Alligator mississippiensis: one gene and its partner. The protein of the gene in region 2 interacts with the protein of the main gene of each other region in a biochemical or structural test. Links are inferred from orthologs where the notes say so. Each region holds a gene or a part of one and is shown on either strand. Other genes may lie near its edges. The genes, in order: CIB1 and TERT.

The links.
Region 1: the proteins of TERT (region 2) and CIB1 form a complex in vitro, tested with the Homo sapiens proteins (2 studies listed by BioGRID). The link is inferred for Alligator mississippiensis from reciprocal best matches to the Homo sapiens genes TERT and CIB1.

The regions. Positions count from the first base shown.
Region 1 is NC_081834.1:856,387-863,728, reverse strand, and holds the start of CIB1 (calcium and integrin-binding protein 1), read right to left. Parts: upstream 3,407-7,342; 5' UTR 3,348-3,406; coding exon 3,297-3,347; intron 3,207-3,296; coding exon 3,172-3,206; intron 2,496-3,171; coding exon 2,393-2,495; intron 1,922-2,392; coding exon 1,768-1,921; intron 1,494-1,767; coding exon 1,375-1,493; intron 1,291-1,374; coding exon 1,202-1,290; intron 700-1,201; coding exon 678-699; 3' UTR 1-677. Other genes in the region: GDPGP1 (GDP-D-glucose phosphorylase 1), read left to right, coding at 4,115-5,275; tubulin polyglutamylase TTLL13, read left to right, coding at 6,801-7,090. UniProt on the Homo sapiens protein: Calcium-binding protein that plays a role in the regulation of numerous cellular processes, such as cell differentiation, cell division, cell proliferation, cell migration, thrombosis, angiogenesis, cardiac hypertrophy and apoptosis.
Region 2 is NC_081826.1:140,165,659-140,173,795, reverse strand, and holds the start of TERT (telomerase reverse transcriptase), read left to right. Parts: upstream 1-4,858; 5' UTR 4,859-5,043; coding exon 5,044-5,271; intron 5,272-7,239; coding exon 7,240-8,137. Other genes in the region: lipid scramblase CLPTM1L, read left to right, coding at 67-182, 1,211-1,298. UniProt on the Homo sapiens protein: Telomerase is a ribonucleoprotein enzyme essential for the replication of chromosome termini in most eukaryotes. Active in progenitor and cancer cells. Inactive, or very low activity, in normal somatic cells.

The DNA of each region.
Region 1 (7,342 bases), on a different chromosome or scaffold from region 2:
GGAGCTGACCTGGGTGACCTCTGGCACGGGATGTGACATTGTTGAGCCAGGACTTTTAAAGTGCTGGGTACATTATTGCTTAGAGAAATGAGGCAGGTTTGCTACAGCCCGGGCTGTGGCCTCAGACCACCCCAAGGAGGCAGCGAGGAGGGACAGTGCCAGCGGGACCCCTGCCAGAGCTGTAGCTCCCAGGCTGCTCATGGAAGGCACAAATCGGTGCTTGAGATTCACACGGAGCAGGAGGTGACAGTCTCCCAGCGAGAGATCTCTGCTCCAGTGTAGGGTGTCAGTGTTGTGCCCAGCTATGGGCTACACCTCAATCAGCACAAGAGGCAGGGAGTACACGTGGCCCTGGAGACTGCACGTCCCAGCCTGCCGTGCTCTATCCTGGGCCCGGTAGCCCCTGCTTAGATCTCCAGGCCTGAGGCTGTGAGGACAAGGGCAGCTTGAGCTGGGCTGCAGCAGAGAAAGAAGCCTGCGTCCCTCCCCCGTGCAGCAGGAGGAGCGCAGGAGGCACAGCCCGCGGGGCTGGTGTAAGGCACTAGGACAGGCGCCGGCATCGCCCATGCATTGGCTTTGGTCACGAGAAGAGGAAGGGGCCAGCTGCTGTGCAGGGCCAGCGCCGAGCTCTGCAGCAGGCTGGGGCGGGGCAGGGGGGAGATGGGCTGCAGGAGCCATCACAGCACAATCTTGAAGGAGCTGAAAGAGAAGGACCGACCGTGCTGGGCCAAGGGGAGCAGCCAGCTCATGTCTAGCACCAGCACTGGCTCCCGCAGCGCAGCCCTGGCCTCCCAGGTCGTGTCTGCTCGCAGCAGAGCAAATCCCTACATCCCTGCTGCCCACAGCTAGACAAGCTGCTCTCCCCGCACCCACAGCAGTGGAGCTTGGCAGCCAGGAAAGAGCAGGTGGGAGGCTTTACAAGGGGAGGGAAGGGTGGGCTTGGTCTCTGCCTGGGGACAGGAGAGCTACGTCCCCCACTGCCCTCTGCACAGCAGGGTGGGGGCATCAGGCTCTTGTTCAGAGCTGTGAGACACTAGCCAGAGACCTGGGGTCATGCCCAGCTCAGCAGCAGACTTCTGTGACCCCAGCCATCGCAGGCTCTGGGCCTTAGTGATAATGGGGCTACTGCCCCTTCCTCCTCTGCTCTGCCTGGTCAGGGCAGACAAGGGGCTCTTGGGCAGGGCAGCGAGGGCAGCCGTACCTAGCGAAGTCAGGAGAGCGGGAAATGACGTGCTGGAACTCCGAGAGGTTGATGGTCCCATCCTTGTCGATGTCGGACTCCTCCAGGATCTGAAAGAAAAAGAGATGTCAGCCACGAGCACCGGCAGGGCAGCACGGCCCTGCCCCCCACCCAGCCGGGGCCTGCATGCTCACGTTCTGGATGAGCTGGTCCATCTCCGAGGTGCTCAGCCGGGTCCCGTCTGCATCCCCTGTCAGGCAATTCACCAGGTTCTCCAGGTCCTTCCTGTCCAGCGTCCCGTCATCATCAAAATCTTTGTGGGGGGCGGGGAGGGGAGAAAGGGGAGAACCAGCTATGATCCCATTTCCCTGGCAATGGCCCTGTAGCTTGGAGATGGGTCAGGTTGGAGGCTCAGGGGCTCCACCCTTTGCTGGCCCTGGGCTCGCGTGGGGCTGGGCTGCAAGGCCCAGCTTGCACAGAGCAAAAGTTCCTCCTGGGCCCCTCCTTGTGCAAGCTGGACCTGGAGCAGAGCTCATCTCTGTGCCGGCCCCGTGAGCTGCATATCCCCCCTGGCCCCAGGTCTTTACCGAAGATGCGGAAGGCATAGTGGGACTTGATCTCCGAGGTGGCGGCATCACTGAAGACGCTCAGCATGTCCAGGAAGTCCTCAAAGGACAGGCTGTCGTCCCCATCCTCCGCCGTGGAGAAGACTCGGCAGATCCGGTGCTGGAACGGGTTTGCCTGGAGGCACAGAGAGGATCACTGAGAGGGCAGGAGCTCCCTGGCACAGGGCAGGGGCAATTCTGCGCTTTCAGCTGCACGTCTGGCTGGAAACAGGCTACGTGCCTCAGCAGAGTAGAGGATCACCCAAGCTCAATCAGAGACTGCACCACAGCCCTTGGAACTTGCTATGACCTGGAAATGTGCCTGGCTACAGTCCCGATGCACCCCAATCCCTCTGGAAGCTCTGACATCCCTACAGCTCAGCAGGGAAGAGGAAGCTGGCTTCCAGGCGGTGACTGGACAGTGCGGCAGGGGATGACCGGCTCCCCCCTTGCATCTGTTACCAGGCTGACCTCCAGGATGGTGAACAGGGGCTGCCCCGAGGGGCTGGGCCTGCGCCTGGGGCCAGACCCAAGCACAGCGGACTGGCCCAGCTGCCTCACAGGCTGAGGGGAGGGGCAGGCAAAGGAGTGGGGGCACGTGCCCTACCCTCAGCTCAGGCAGCGTGACGACCTTGTCCTTGGGGACCCGCGCCGACAGGATTTGATCCCTCTCCTCCTTGGGCACCAGCTCGCTGAATCTCTTGTGGGCGCTTCGAGAGACAAGAATGAGCGCTGCTCTAGGGCAGCCTGTAGTGCAGGGCCAGGCTCAGCCACAGCGGGAGCCCGCCCAGGGCAGCTGCACCCCGGGTAGGTGCACAGACACAGACCCACGTGCCAGACACTCTGGGACCGTTTCGCTGCACGCAGCTCTGTGCGGAGCTCCCCAGCGATGGGGCTGGGGCTGTGCCAGCTATCCCAGCGCAGCAAAGCAGCATGAGCCCACGCCCTGCACGGAGCCCGAGGACCTTTGCGCCGGTGCCCACAGCCCCAGGGCGGGGGGGCACAGCCCAGCCGCTCCCTGCGTCCTGCTTCCTGCTTCGCCTGCGAAGCAACGCTGGCACCACTGAAAGCAACAGCCACCGTGAGCTGCTGCCAGCTCTGCCCTGGGGCCAAGGCGTGCCAGCCCCGGACTCGGGCACAGGAGCAGGGAGAGGCGGACGGGGCTGCCACCCCGCGCCGCTCGCCCCTTTGCTCCAGCCGCTCTGGGAAGGTGCCAGCTGAGCTCTGCGCGGCAGGTGCCACGGGCCGCCCGGCCCCCGACCCGGCGTCTCGGGTTTCTGGAGCCGGGTTTGCGCAGCAGCCCGAAGGCACCTCGCCCCTCCGGCGGAGAAGCGGGCTGTGGCAGCGCGTGCGGACGCGTCCCCTGCCCGCCCCGTCCCTACTCACATCAGGATCTCCTGCTTGGTCAGGAACGTCAGCTCCTGCGGGGCGAGGAGGCAGCGTTACCCGCCGCGCCCGGCCCCGGCCCCGACCCCCGGCCCCCGGCCCCGACCCCCGCCCGGCCCCGGCACCTGGTACTCGCCGAGCAGGTCCGGCGGCACGCTGCTGGCCGAGCCCCCCATGGCAACACTGTATCCGCTGCCGCGACGTCACAGCTTCCCGGAACCTGCTCCCATGGCAACGCCCCGCTCTTAAAGGGCCCCGCGCCGGGTGAGTAGGCGCTGCTGCGGCCGGGCTCCCGCAGGACGAGGCCCGGCGCGGGCTGGCGGGAAGGGCCGCGGCTCCCGGCCCGGGGGGAACGAGTTGCCGTGCCGGAAGACGGCGGGACGAGCTTGCGGGAAACCGCGGCTCCGGGGCAGCCCGCACAGCAGGTTGGCCGGGGCTGCGGGATCCCTGCTCGGGCTGAGCCAGCTCAGCGCGCCCGGCCGCCGGCCCCAGAGGCTTGCCCGTGGAGCACTTGGGCGCGGCTCCCTCTGCAGCGTCTGGCACGATGGAGACCGGCTGCCAGGGCTGGGGGCAGCGCAGCGGGGAGGAGACGGCTCCGCTGTGGCCTGGGCAGGGGCAGGGTGGTGACCACCGTGCCAGGCTGAGCTGTGGAGCCGTCTCTGTGACCCCCGGTGCCCATCCTGCCAGGCCGCCTGCACGGGGGTGGGCTAGGGGAGCAGGCTCTCGGCAGGTGCTTTAGGAAGTGGGGCTCACCAGGGAGGGGGAGTGCTTCTCAGACGGGGGAGGGGGTTTGCTTGGGTCGCGGCAAACAATCTGACTGGCTCGTCTGTGGTCCCTGAATTCCCACGGACTTGTCCCGTTGCCTCTTTCAGAGCAGCAGCAGCGGGGGAGCAGAGCAGGTAACTCGACCGCGTCACTGCGTGCAGGCCAAGCTCCCCAGGAAATGTTGCACGCTCAGGAGCAGCCGGAGCACCCCGCTGCCTCCGGCCTGGAGGACTTTGTCTATAGCGAAGAGGACTTTGTTCTGCAGGGGGTTGGGTGGGGGAGAAGCAGGCCAGATGGGCTGGCAAGCCGCGCCGTGTCCCACTTCGACCACGCATTGCAGTCTGGCTGGGAGCGCAGGATGAAGCAGGGCTTGTTCCGGTATCCCCTGGGGGAGCTGCAGACCCGCATCTTGCCTGGCGAGATGCACTTTGTGGCCCAGCTGAACATCCAGAGGGGACTGGAGCGGAGGAAGCCACAGGACATCCAGAGCGTGAGGCAGAGGTTTGACCCGCAGCAATTCCACTTCAGTAAGATCAAGCCAGGGGAGATCCTCTTCTGCCTGACCAGGAGCCCCAGTCCCCACGTGCCAGCGGGGGGGCAGGCTCCGGCCCAGGATGGTGCTGAGCCCAGGCTCCCAGAGACGCCTAACCGTGTCCTGGTGGTGATTAATGTCAGTCCCCTGGAATTTGGGCACGTGCTTCTTATTCCAGACCCCACGCTCTGCCTGCCTCAGATTCTCACCCAGGAGCTGCTCCACTTTGGACTGGAAGCTGTTCTCCTCAGCGCTCACCCAGGTTTCCGTGTAGGCTTCAACAGCCTGGGAGCCTTGGCCTCTGTCAACCACTTGCACCTGCACGGCTTCTACCTGGACTGGGAGCTCCTAATTGAGTCGGCCCCGAGCAAGCCCCTGTGCCCTGCTCTCAACTTCCACCTGCTGCAGGGCGTGCCAGCCCCGGGGTTCCTGTTCTACGGCGAGGGGCGAGGGCTGGGGGCCTTGGCACGTGCTGCCTGCCGAGTCACCGACTACCTGGTGGAGAACGAGATTGCACACAATGTGTTTGTGACGCGGGGAACTGCCCCTGGGGAGCCAGCCCGCTCGGCAGCCCGATCTGGAGTTCGGGTGGTTGTCTGGGCCAGGAAGTCCTGCTTCGGGGCCAAGGAGGAAGCGGCATTTAACGTAGCCCTCTGTGAGCTGGCAGGGCATCTGCCAGTCAAAACCGCCCAGGACTTCCAGAGCCTGACGGAGCGCTCGGCCCTGTGCACCATCCAGAAATACCTCCTCCCGGCGCCCCAACTCTCCCGGCTCCAGGACGAGCTGGTGACGCTGCTCACGGGCTAACTGCCAGGGGGGCTCATCCCTCAGCTGTGGGGCCTGACTCGCCCAGCCCAGCCCAGCCAGCGTGCTCTGTAACTCCTGTGGAAGTGGGGGGGGCACCCCTCCGGGTGGGGGCTCGGGTGCTGCAGCCTGCAGGGAGGGAGCGGGTCTCTGCACAACTCCTGCCTCTCGATATTATTATTTTTTAAGGAAAAACAGATGACCCAAACCAAGCCAGCCAAATTAATTCCAAGTCCATGTGATTCATTCAAGAACCGCACGTGGCCCCGTGTCCCAGGAAGGGCTGGGGGGGCTGCACGTGGTGTCCTGGCAGTGGCTCGGGCACCTCTTGTAATCAGTGACTGGTGATTAGTGAGGGGGGATTGGTGCTAATTACTAAATCAGCAGGGGTCCCGGTGTTCTCTGATTTAAAAGAAACCCCCAATTTCCAGATTTAAAAGAGGAACCCAAAACCCAGTTTTCCCCGATTAAAATAAAACGCCGCTCTACATACATCCGTGTATTAGTGGTGGTGTATTTGAATCATGGAAACGTGGGTAGCTTCTGAATCCAAAAATGTGGGATTCTCTTACATGGGAGAAAACCAGGACCCCGGGGTCAGTGGCGGGGCCCGGCCTCGCGCTTGCGATCAGCCCGTAACCCGCGCTCTGCACCCGGCAGCACCCCTACCCTACCCTACCCCGCCCCGCCCCACTCCCCTCCCCGCTGGCCCACGTGCTCCCCCACTTCCGGGCCGCTGCCCGTCCAGCAAGGCATGCTGGGAGCGCTCGCGGCCTTCCCCGGGGGCGCTGGCCAATGAGGCGAGAGGAGGCGGGCGGACGCTCCGATTCTCAGCCAATTCGCAGGCGCCTATCTGTGCTTCCGCCTTGGCGCTGTTCTAGGCGGCGGGAGGGGAGGGGGCCTCTCTCTATGGTTGCTGAGGCCCCGCCCCCAACGCTTGGCTTCCTGCCGGCGGCGGAACCTCCTGTCGCCATGGAGACGGCGTCGGGGCTGGAGGGAGCCGCCCCGGGGCCTGGTGAGGCACCTCCCCCCCCGGGAGCAGGGGCGGGGCCAACCCCGTGGGCGGGGCGATGCGGGCCACGCCCTCTGTGGGTGCGATGCACGTGGCAGGAGGGGCCTGGGCTCGACGCCTGCGGGGGGAGGGGGGGCTGCCCCAGGGGAGCTGGGGGCGGTGCAGAGTCCGAGGTCTGCGCGCGGAGCCTGGCGCAACACCGCCTGAGAGCGGGACCGGATGCGACCCTTCCAACCTCGCTTTCCCTGAGACGGGAGCGGGGCGGGGTGGGTCTGCACTAGGGTGCCGTTGCTGCCGCGCGGTCTTCACCGGAGATGCGGTGCCCGCTGTGCAAGGCTCAGACCGCGCGCTGGCTCTCGGGTGTGGGAAAGAGCTGGCAATGGCGGGTGACCCAGTGGCCGGCCCTTGGCCTGGTGCGTGCGGCACACGCGGCGCTCGCAGGTCTGGCACGCTCGTGCGTCGCGTGCTGACGAGCTCGTTCCGTACAGCTCCGTAAGCGAACCCCGCGCGGGGAAGATGGCCTCCAAGGACAGCAGCGTTTCCGCGAACGAGACGGATGAGGACGAAGACGAGGAAGGGGCTCAGTCAGAGGAGTCTTCCCGGGGAAGCACCGCAGGGTGCAGCGGAGAAAGTAAAACGGCGCTTGCGGACAGCGCTCCTCAGCAGGGGGCCTTGGAGCCGAGGGACGCGGGCAAGCTGGGCTGGGGGCGGACAGCTCTGCCAGCGTCCCCGCTTGGCCCAGAAAGACGAGTGGCAGAGCACCGTGTCGTGGGGACCGAGCTGAGAAAGAGAAAGAAAAGAGTAAGGTGAGCGGCCCCGGCGCCCCTGCGCTGCCAGGCCTCTGCTTCCTGGTTCCCAGGCCAAGCAACCTGTGAGGGAGGCGCTGGAGCCCAGATGGCCGGCTGCCTCCTGCTTTCCTTTCACCGTCGGGAGCTCCCCAGCCTCCCAGACCAAAGCCCACGTGCCTCGCATGAGGTGCGGCATGCTTGTGTGTCTGTCAGAGCTACCTAGCTGGGACCCAGCGTGGCAGGCAGGGACCACGGCATGACCCATCGTCC
Region 2 (8,137 bases):
TGTTGGCAGTACTACCAATTGAATTGTACTGAATACCTTTACTGAAAATAATTATTTTATTTATAGGCATTCAATACCTTCATTGATGATATCTTTGCTTTTATCATTACTATGCCAACATCTCATAGACTGGCATGTTTTAGAGATGATGTTGTGTTCCTGGTCTACCTTTACCAAAGATGGTAAGCTTTTCTCCTATGCCTCTTCTTTGATACATATTTACTATTGCTAGTTAAAATATGAAGATCCATGTAAGTACATCAACCAAAAAATAAAGAAGCAAAAATAATAGTTCAGCAAAGATTTAAAAGTTTCCCTTTTATTGCATACTAATGTATAGTATACTGTGTTTTGAAATCAAGTTAAGTCTCGAACACTTACCAGTCTTTAGATCCTTTTAGAGATCACTCAGACTTTCTTTCAGGACAGCACTTATCCCCAGCCCAATGGCTGATTCTTATTTACATAATTAGGCTTGTCTGCCTTTTAATATTTGCTTGAAAATCCCTGAAGACCAAGTAAGAAGCATGTTCTGGTAAAGCAATTCCTTCAGTAAAATCAAATCTTGCTTTCTTTAAAACAAAATTCTAGCCCTCAGGTTACAAAGATAATTTTGCAAAAATAAACCAATAGCATAATCTTCCCAAATCTGTGGATGATTCCATTGGTTTCTGCTACTCGGTTTTGCCATGCAGCAGAATAAAACTAACCATTTTCCCTGCTGTGCTTCAGACAGAACCTTGTGTTAGTAGCGAGGGTGTCAAGAATTGACTGCAGCTTCATGTTTGTTGGAGGGGGTTATCCAGAAGTAGACTCTCGAGTTATTGTTTAGAGAGTAAGTTTCGAAAAGGAGATGTGGAGAGAAACTTTTCAGTAGTAGCAGAGACCTCCCATCCCCCATTCCTACTCTCAGCCTCTTTCAGCATGCAGTGAGTACTGGAGATCATCTTAATAAGAAGGTTTTGAAGGAGACCCAAGGGGACCTTCCTTCCATCTGTTAAAGGTGGGTTGAGTTTCAGATTTGGAAGCGGAAGATTGTTCTAAAGGATTTTCTACTTGAGGACCTAATAGTGTTCATAGGCTGGCGCTCAGGAGACAAAGCAGATGATGAGCAGGAAATGCTGTTTTAGCAGACTGAGCAGCAATTGATACGGTCTTTTACTAGGGATCAACCCTGCATATAATTAATTCATATTATTTTTTCCGAAAGGCTTTATCCCGTGGATAAGAGCAGAATGAATGAATATGGAGAATGTTATGAAGAAAAGCCGAAAATCCTTAAAAAAAAATTAACATAATTCTAAACGGTTCTTTCCTTGGACTGCTACTGGCTACTTGTATTATCTGGTTTGAAGGAAGAAATAAGATTGGATTGCAAAACAAGAGTATTTTAAAGTTATGACAGGACTTCATGGACAATACATCTTCTACATTGCCAAAATCTATTTTTGATGATTCTCCAACATTTCAAAGTTCCCTTTGTTGATTCCTTGAAGAAGTCTATCAGTGTGTCTGCCAGATGTCACTCAATAGCTAGACTTTTAAATTTTTCCATGAAACTTAAATATTAATTTGTCTTTGTTGTTGTGATGACTCTCTAAATGTGTTTTTTGAAACAGCTTAGTAACTGGAAGTGTGGTGCCTGCACTGACAAGGGGATGCTAAGCCATGAAAACTACAGTAAGCCAGTGGTTAGGTTACAACAGAATTAAGTGTCACTGCAGAACCACATACACATCCAAGTGTGCCACACAAAACCATGTTCAGCTGACACAGGATATGGAAGGTTTGAAGCTGACTGACTTAAGCTATATGTAGGCTTTAAAATAAGCTCACTGCTTCAAATATTCTTCCTGGATGGAAGGGGCAAATAACCTAAATGAACAAAATATATGACAAATATTTGCCAGCCTTTAAGCCCATAATAGGACTTGTATCTTAATTTATTTTTAAAAGGCAGAGGCTTTTCAGTAAGACAAAGGAAAAAAAATCCAAAAATTCATGAGCATGTGCAGCAAATGATTTATTTTTAGTACATATCTAATGTTGCCTAAACTCTTCTTGCATTTGCTAGCACAATACCCTGCAATTTCCCATCAATATAGGTTTTTATATTGGCACGTGAGCCATTGTGGTATACCTCTTGTCTAAATACATGTTTGCATGATAGACACTGTTGTGATCTATTGTGCCAATTCTTTTTCAGGAGAAATGTTTTCTTGGTTCTCTCGATTTCTATAACATTAACATGGAAAAATAAAGCATAATGCATTCAAATAATGGGAAGGTATTTTGTTTGACCCAATAGATGCTCAGAAAATCACCTATGAAAATCAGTGCATAAAATCGTCTTTTAAAAATGTGCCTGTTAAGTTAAGCTGTTTACTAAAGTACATACTTCCAGTAGCAGCAATGTTGCTTAAAAGGCAGTTTCTGTCTAGCTGTCTATCATGTTATCAGTTTGGGTATGTGTTAATCAGATTTCAATTCAGCACTTTAGAGAATGTTTAGACTGTGCTGAAAAGAATGAACATTCAAACTGCAGACAAACAGTATGCATTTAGAGCCCCTATTTATATGGTTTTATGAAGCAAATTTCCATTTAATTGGCTATGCTTGAAAAGACTTATTGCTTCATTAGTGGCAAATAAAATGTCTGATTCTGACAAACAGGTTCACTCCTTGGCAATGCCTTTTGTTTTAAAGAATATTTGGCAACTTTTAATGAACTTAGATTTTTTTTTCTCCAAAAAATGTTGCTGGGTTTTGTGTTTTTGTTTTTTAATTACTCTGTTTTTATTGGAGTCTGTCAACTTATTTTAACTTCAAGATGCCACTAATTCAAAATGTAAATGATAAATGATGATTTGTTTCATGAAATAGCTTTTTACCATATCCTAATGTTATGGTGGTCCATAGGCACTTGTTTTGGTTGTTCACGAGAACACAGGAATATGCCTGCCTGACTTGTCTCACTGATGTAAGCAGACCCTTTTATACCAATGCAGCATAATAAAGGAGCCTAACAAGAGAGATGAATTTAACTTGTGCCCAGTTCAAGGCCTCTTTATACTGGCAGCCATATACGGGAGCTTTAACGAAAACAGAATCAGGCAGTGAGACTATCAGCAACACTGTGGCATGTCCATAAATATTGGTAGGATTGGGACTATAGTTCATATAAACCATGCATTTATTTTATCCTGATGCCAGCTACTGCTCTTTGTTATTAGAGACTTGTCTCATCTGTTTCATAATAAATGATATTTTTATGTGTTGAAAATAATTGTCCTATTAAATAATTTATTGAATGTACCCTTTTGTGACATTTTAAAATCAATTTGAGGTGACCTCTGAAAGTCTAACTTACTGTAGTCAGGTACTTTTAATATTTCAGCATTCCTTTTCTGCATGTAATTATTTGAAAATCATTCCTTAGTCTTTGTCTTGCCAGGTTTTTTTATTATCCTTTGTAACTTTCCATATGTTCCATAACTTTCCGATCGTGATAAGTGATGAATCAATCACTTCACGTGCAACGTGGCCATGCTGAGTATAAGGTTTGAGGTTTTAAGGCAACAAGGCTTTGTGAAGCTCTAATGAGTCAATAATTTGTTTTCTGCAGTCATGGTACAAATAAAGCATTTATGTCTGAGACTAACTGAGTTCTGATTTCTTATTGGAAAGGATGTGAGAGAGAATTTGTGTTACTGATGGTCGTGATGCATAGACTAAACGAAATAAACACTTTCCAATGCAGTAATCTTTTTAATAATCTTACAGAAACCATGGAGAAACATCCAAGTGAATATTTTGAGTGTTTGTGTACTTAAAAACACTCCTGCTTAAAAATATCTCAGTGTTACAGATGTGGAAGTGAGTGCCATGAATCATGCTCTCTAAACCACTGACCATTTTTGTTGCTTTCCACTGGACTCTTTCCAATTTATCCATGTTTCAAGGTGCAGTGCAGCCAACTGGATACAGTGCTCCAATTGAGCCTGCACCAGTGCTGAAAAGAGCTGGAGTTGCTTTTCTGGATGGGCAAGGGACACTCTTGTTCGTACCTAGTATGCTATTGCCTTTTTTTGCAATAAGAGCACCTTGTGGATTGATTCAGCTTGTGCACTATAATGCACCCCTTTTTTTGTAGGACAGTACCCTAACTAGTAGATTTAGATGAGAAAGTCACCATTTAGAGCAGGTTACTGCTACTTTACCACTGGTTTTTATGCCTAGTTTCCCTAGGTTTTCATTAAAGATGGCAATAATGCAGTTCTACTACCACGGTGTATGTTTTTATTAAATGCTATCTATGGCTTATCATTTCACAACCTTGCCATTGTCCTTTAGCCCCAGTGTCTTGTAAATGTGTCAGTCAATGTAGGAGAGGCCAGGATTTCTTAGGGTGTTTGTTAGTTTTCCTTGGACCAACTGTGTAGTACAGTTGGACACATTTTCGAGAACTTTTTTCCTCAGACAAAGCACGCAAGACAAAAATTGCTTTCAAAAGCTTGCCTAACTCTACTACACAGTTGGTTCAACACAAGATATTGCCCTAAAAAATACTTGCCCCTCATAACCTGGACCATCACGGCTTAAAACATCACGGACACGATCAGTAAAAGTAGGTCTTCACTGGGGCTGAGTCAGGAAGGCTCTTCCGCCCAGGAAAACACAGATCTGTTAGTGGGAGAGGTGGACAAGTTGCAGCTGGAGGCTGGTGCAATGCGCGCAGGTAGAAGCAAGGCGGCGGATGAAGAGGAGAGGCAGCACTGCAGCGCCTCACTCCACCGGCTCTTGCTTCAGATCCAGATCTAGATCTAGACCTAGCCCTCCCGGGGCCGGGTCATCCTTCGCTGGGCGCTAGGCAAGCAGACTCGCTGGCCCCGGTGCTGAGACTGGGAGGCGGTAGCCGCCACCGCCCCCACGTGCGAGTTGCCGGGCGGGAGGCTGGAGGCGGGGCTCGCACGTGTGTCCGCCCCGCCCCCTCCCGCGGCTCGCGGAGCATGAGAGGCAGGGACCGGGTCGGCCGGGGGCAGCATGGCGGGTCGTGGGCCGCTGGCGGTGCTGCGCGGCTGCTACGCGGAGACGCTGGCGCTGGAGGCCTTCGTGCAGCGGGAGCAGGTGGCGGCCGGGGTCGGGGCCGGGGCCGGGCCGGAGCTGGTGCGGCCCGCGGACCCCGCGATCTACCGCGCCTTCGCGGAGCGCCTCGTGGTGGCGGTGCCGTGGGGCGCCCGCGCCCTGCCCCGCCCGCTCTGCTTCCGCCAGGTATCCCCGGGGGCGGGCGGGCCACGGCATGGCACGGGGGGGGAGGGCGCCGCCTGCTCGCTTCTGCCCGCTGTGGCGGCCCCGGGGCCCCTGCGCCCTCGCCCGCCCTGGGCTTGGGAGAGGAGGCGGCCGCGGCGGCGGCACCCGCGCGCGCACCGGGCCCCCGCGTCCCTGCACACGTCCTGCTCCCCTCCGCGCATCCCGCCGCTTCCTCTTCACACACGCACTTGTTCTCAGTGTCCCCCTACACATGCACACGCATTGTTCCCCCTACACACGCACGCCCATTCCCCCTGCACCCCCCCTTGTTCCTCTTGCGTACCCCCCCCGATTGTTCTCCTCACACACACTCATTGTTCCCCCCCTCACACACACAGATTGTTTCCCCCTCCACACATGAGCACACAGCAGTGGGGCAGGGGGGTGTTCCAGTCCCAGGAGGGAAGGCATTTAGGCTGGGGGAAGGGAGCTGGCACTCTCCTCTCTTTTCCCCTCCCAAGAGAAGATGCTGCCCTGAGGTGGGGGCCTGGCTTGAGGATGTCCTGAGCAAGGATCCTGGTTTTCTGTGATTTTAAAGAAAAAAATTCTCAATTTTCCGTTAAAAAAGGTACACCCAAATCCATATTTTTCTGTGATTTAAAAAAAAAAAAATGTAACACCTCTATATATATATATATATATATATATATAAATGAAACACCACTATAATATATATATATATATATATATCACAGAAAATTGTGGCTTTGGGCATACCTTTTTTTTAAACTGAAAATTGGGCATTTTTTTTTAATCTGAGAGAGCCAGGATCCCTGCTCATGAGGTCTCTCCAAGTTCAAGGCACCCCGGGGTATTGCTGCAAGAGGGCTGTCCCTGCAGTTTTAAAATGAGGTTGGACCAATGATTTTCTACCAGCGTGTGGCCGTGCCCTTGGGGTGTCTTGAGATCCTCTTGGGGGTGCCACAAGGTGTCACGCAAGGCTAGCACTATCAGGTGTGCTACACAGATTCATAAGATGTACTCGGAGATTTCAGACAGGAACCCAGAGTGTCAAAAGCGTTCTGACTGGCTCTTGTCTTTCTGAGGCCTTTGGTCTATTTATAGTAAAAAAACCCCAGTGAAAACTAGGAGCTGGTATTTTTCAAGGGGGGGGACCTCAGGTCTCTTCGGGTGGGGGAGTCATGTTTCCTGAGGGGTGCCTTGAGTCTAAAAAGGTTGAGAACCACTGCTATCAGCCGTGCAAGGGTTGGGGGAAGGGATTCCTCTTTCCCTGCTGAAGTGAGAGCACAAGGTTCCTGGTCCCTAAACTGGGATTGGGTAAAACAGAAGGTTAGGTGTCCACGGCTTATTTGCTCTGCTCTTTCTCGTGAAGTAACATTTAAAAATTGAAAAGGAACAGCCTCTGTTGTAATTGGGGCTGAATAATGCAATTCTCGTGTTGCAGAAAGAGAAGGGCGATCCCTTTCTGTTGTGTTCAGTAAACAGGAGAGGAAGATTTTGCAGACTTCTCTAAGTTGCTGCATAAACAAAGCTATTCTTCTGTTGACCTGTTTGATTCTCATGAATTGAGATAATTTAATTCATGTTTCTGGAGGGATTGGTCTGTGGTATAGTAAATGCTGTAAATGCAAATTGGTAGATCCTCTGACCTGAGGATCCTGCAGTCTAAACAGACAGGATGGACTGTGGGTGAGGAGAGAGCATTATCCCAGTTCTGTGAAGGGGGAGGGAGTAAGTGACTTGCCCAAATTCTTCATCCCTGCTTTCAGGGTACAAAAGTCTGTAACATTTGAAAATGCCTGATGCAGTGTGGCATGTGCAGGCTGATCAACTTGTTTTCAAGAGTCATAATCGACAACCAGAGTCTGGGGCTAAGCACGCATGCTTTTGAAGGTGGATTTGTGGTTTGTCCCCCCAAAAAAAGTCTTAGGCAAAGTTAACTTTTTGTTTTATTTTTTCCCTTTTCAGCTCTCTGCTATGAGTGACGTTGTCAAAAGAGTTGTTCAGAGACTTTGTGAAAAAAAGAAGAAGAATGTGCTTGCGTTTGGGTATTCCTTAGCAGATGAAAACACTTCTCATTTGCTGGTTACATCTACTGTAGGTCTATGCAACTACCTTCCTAATACTTCAACAGAAGCTCTTCACACTGATGGCCTCTGGGAAACATTACTGAGCAGGATAGGGGATGACCTGATGATGTATTTGTTGGAACACTGTGCTGTCTTTATGCTAGTGCCTCCTAGCTGCTGTTACCAAATCTGTGGACTGCCTCTCTATGAACTCATTTCAAATAACTTGGAACCATCCCCAGTGTTTGTTAAGCAAGCATATTCAAAGCGTAGAAAGAATGTATTGCTTGATTATGTGCAAAAGTCTAAGTTTCGTAGGAATTACCTGTCCCAGACAAATTGGAAATGCAAGAAGAGCTCTGAAATAAGTAATGTGATGACAGGGAGGCAAAAGAGTAAAAAATCAGGAGTCCCCATGTCTAGTGATCAGCATTTTGCTACAGCTGAGGAAACTGTTGGACAGAATAGTAGGACAAGTGAACAAGACAAGATGTCAACAGGAGACCTGGGAAGTTGGAGAAGCCCTGGCTTATATCCAGCAGCTGCAGTTGCACCTTTCAAACGAAAACGTGGTGGGGACCAGCTTGAGATTTCAGTCAAAAGGGTGAAGATAACAGCAGAAGAGCTGGAGAAAGAAACTGAGAGACTTGGTTCTAATGTAGACAAAAACAAATCCCAAGTCGCTGGCTTGGGATACATAGAATCATTTCCTCAGGGGAGCGAGGGTAGTTCATCAAGAGTGCCTGCTTCTCGTCAAGCATTAGACACTCATGATAGCCAGAAGTTTGTAGCAAATA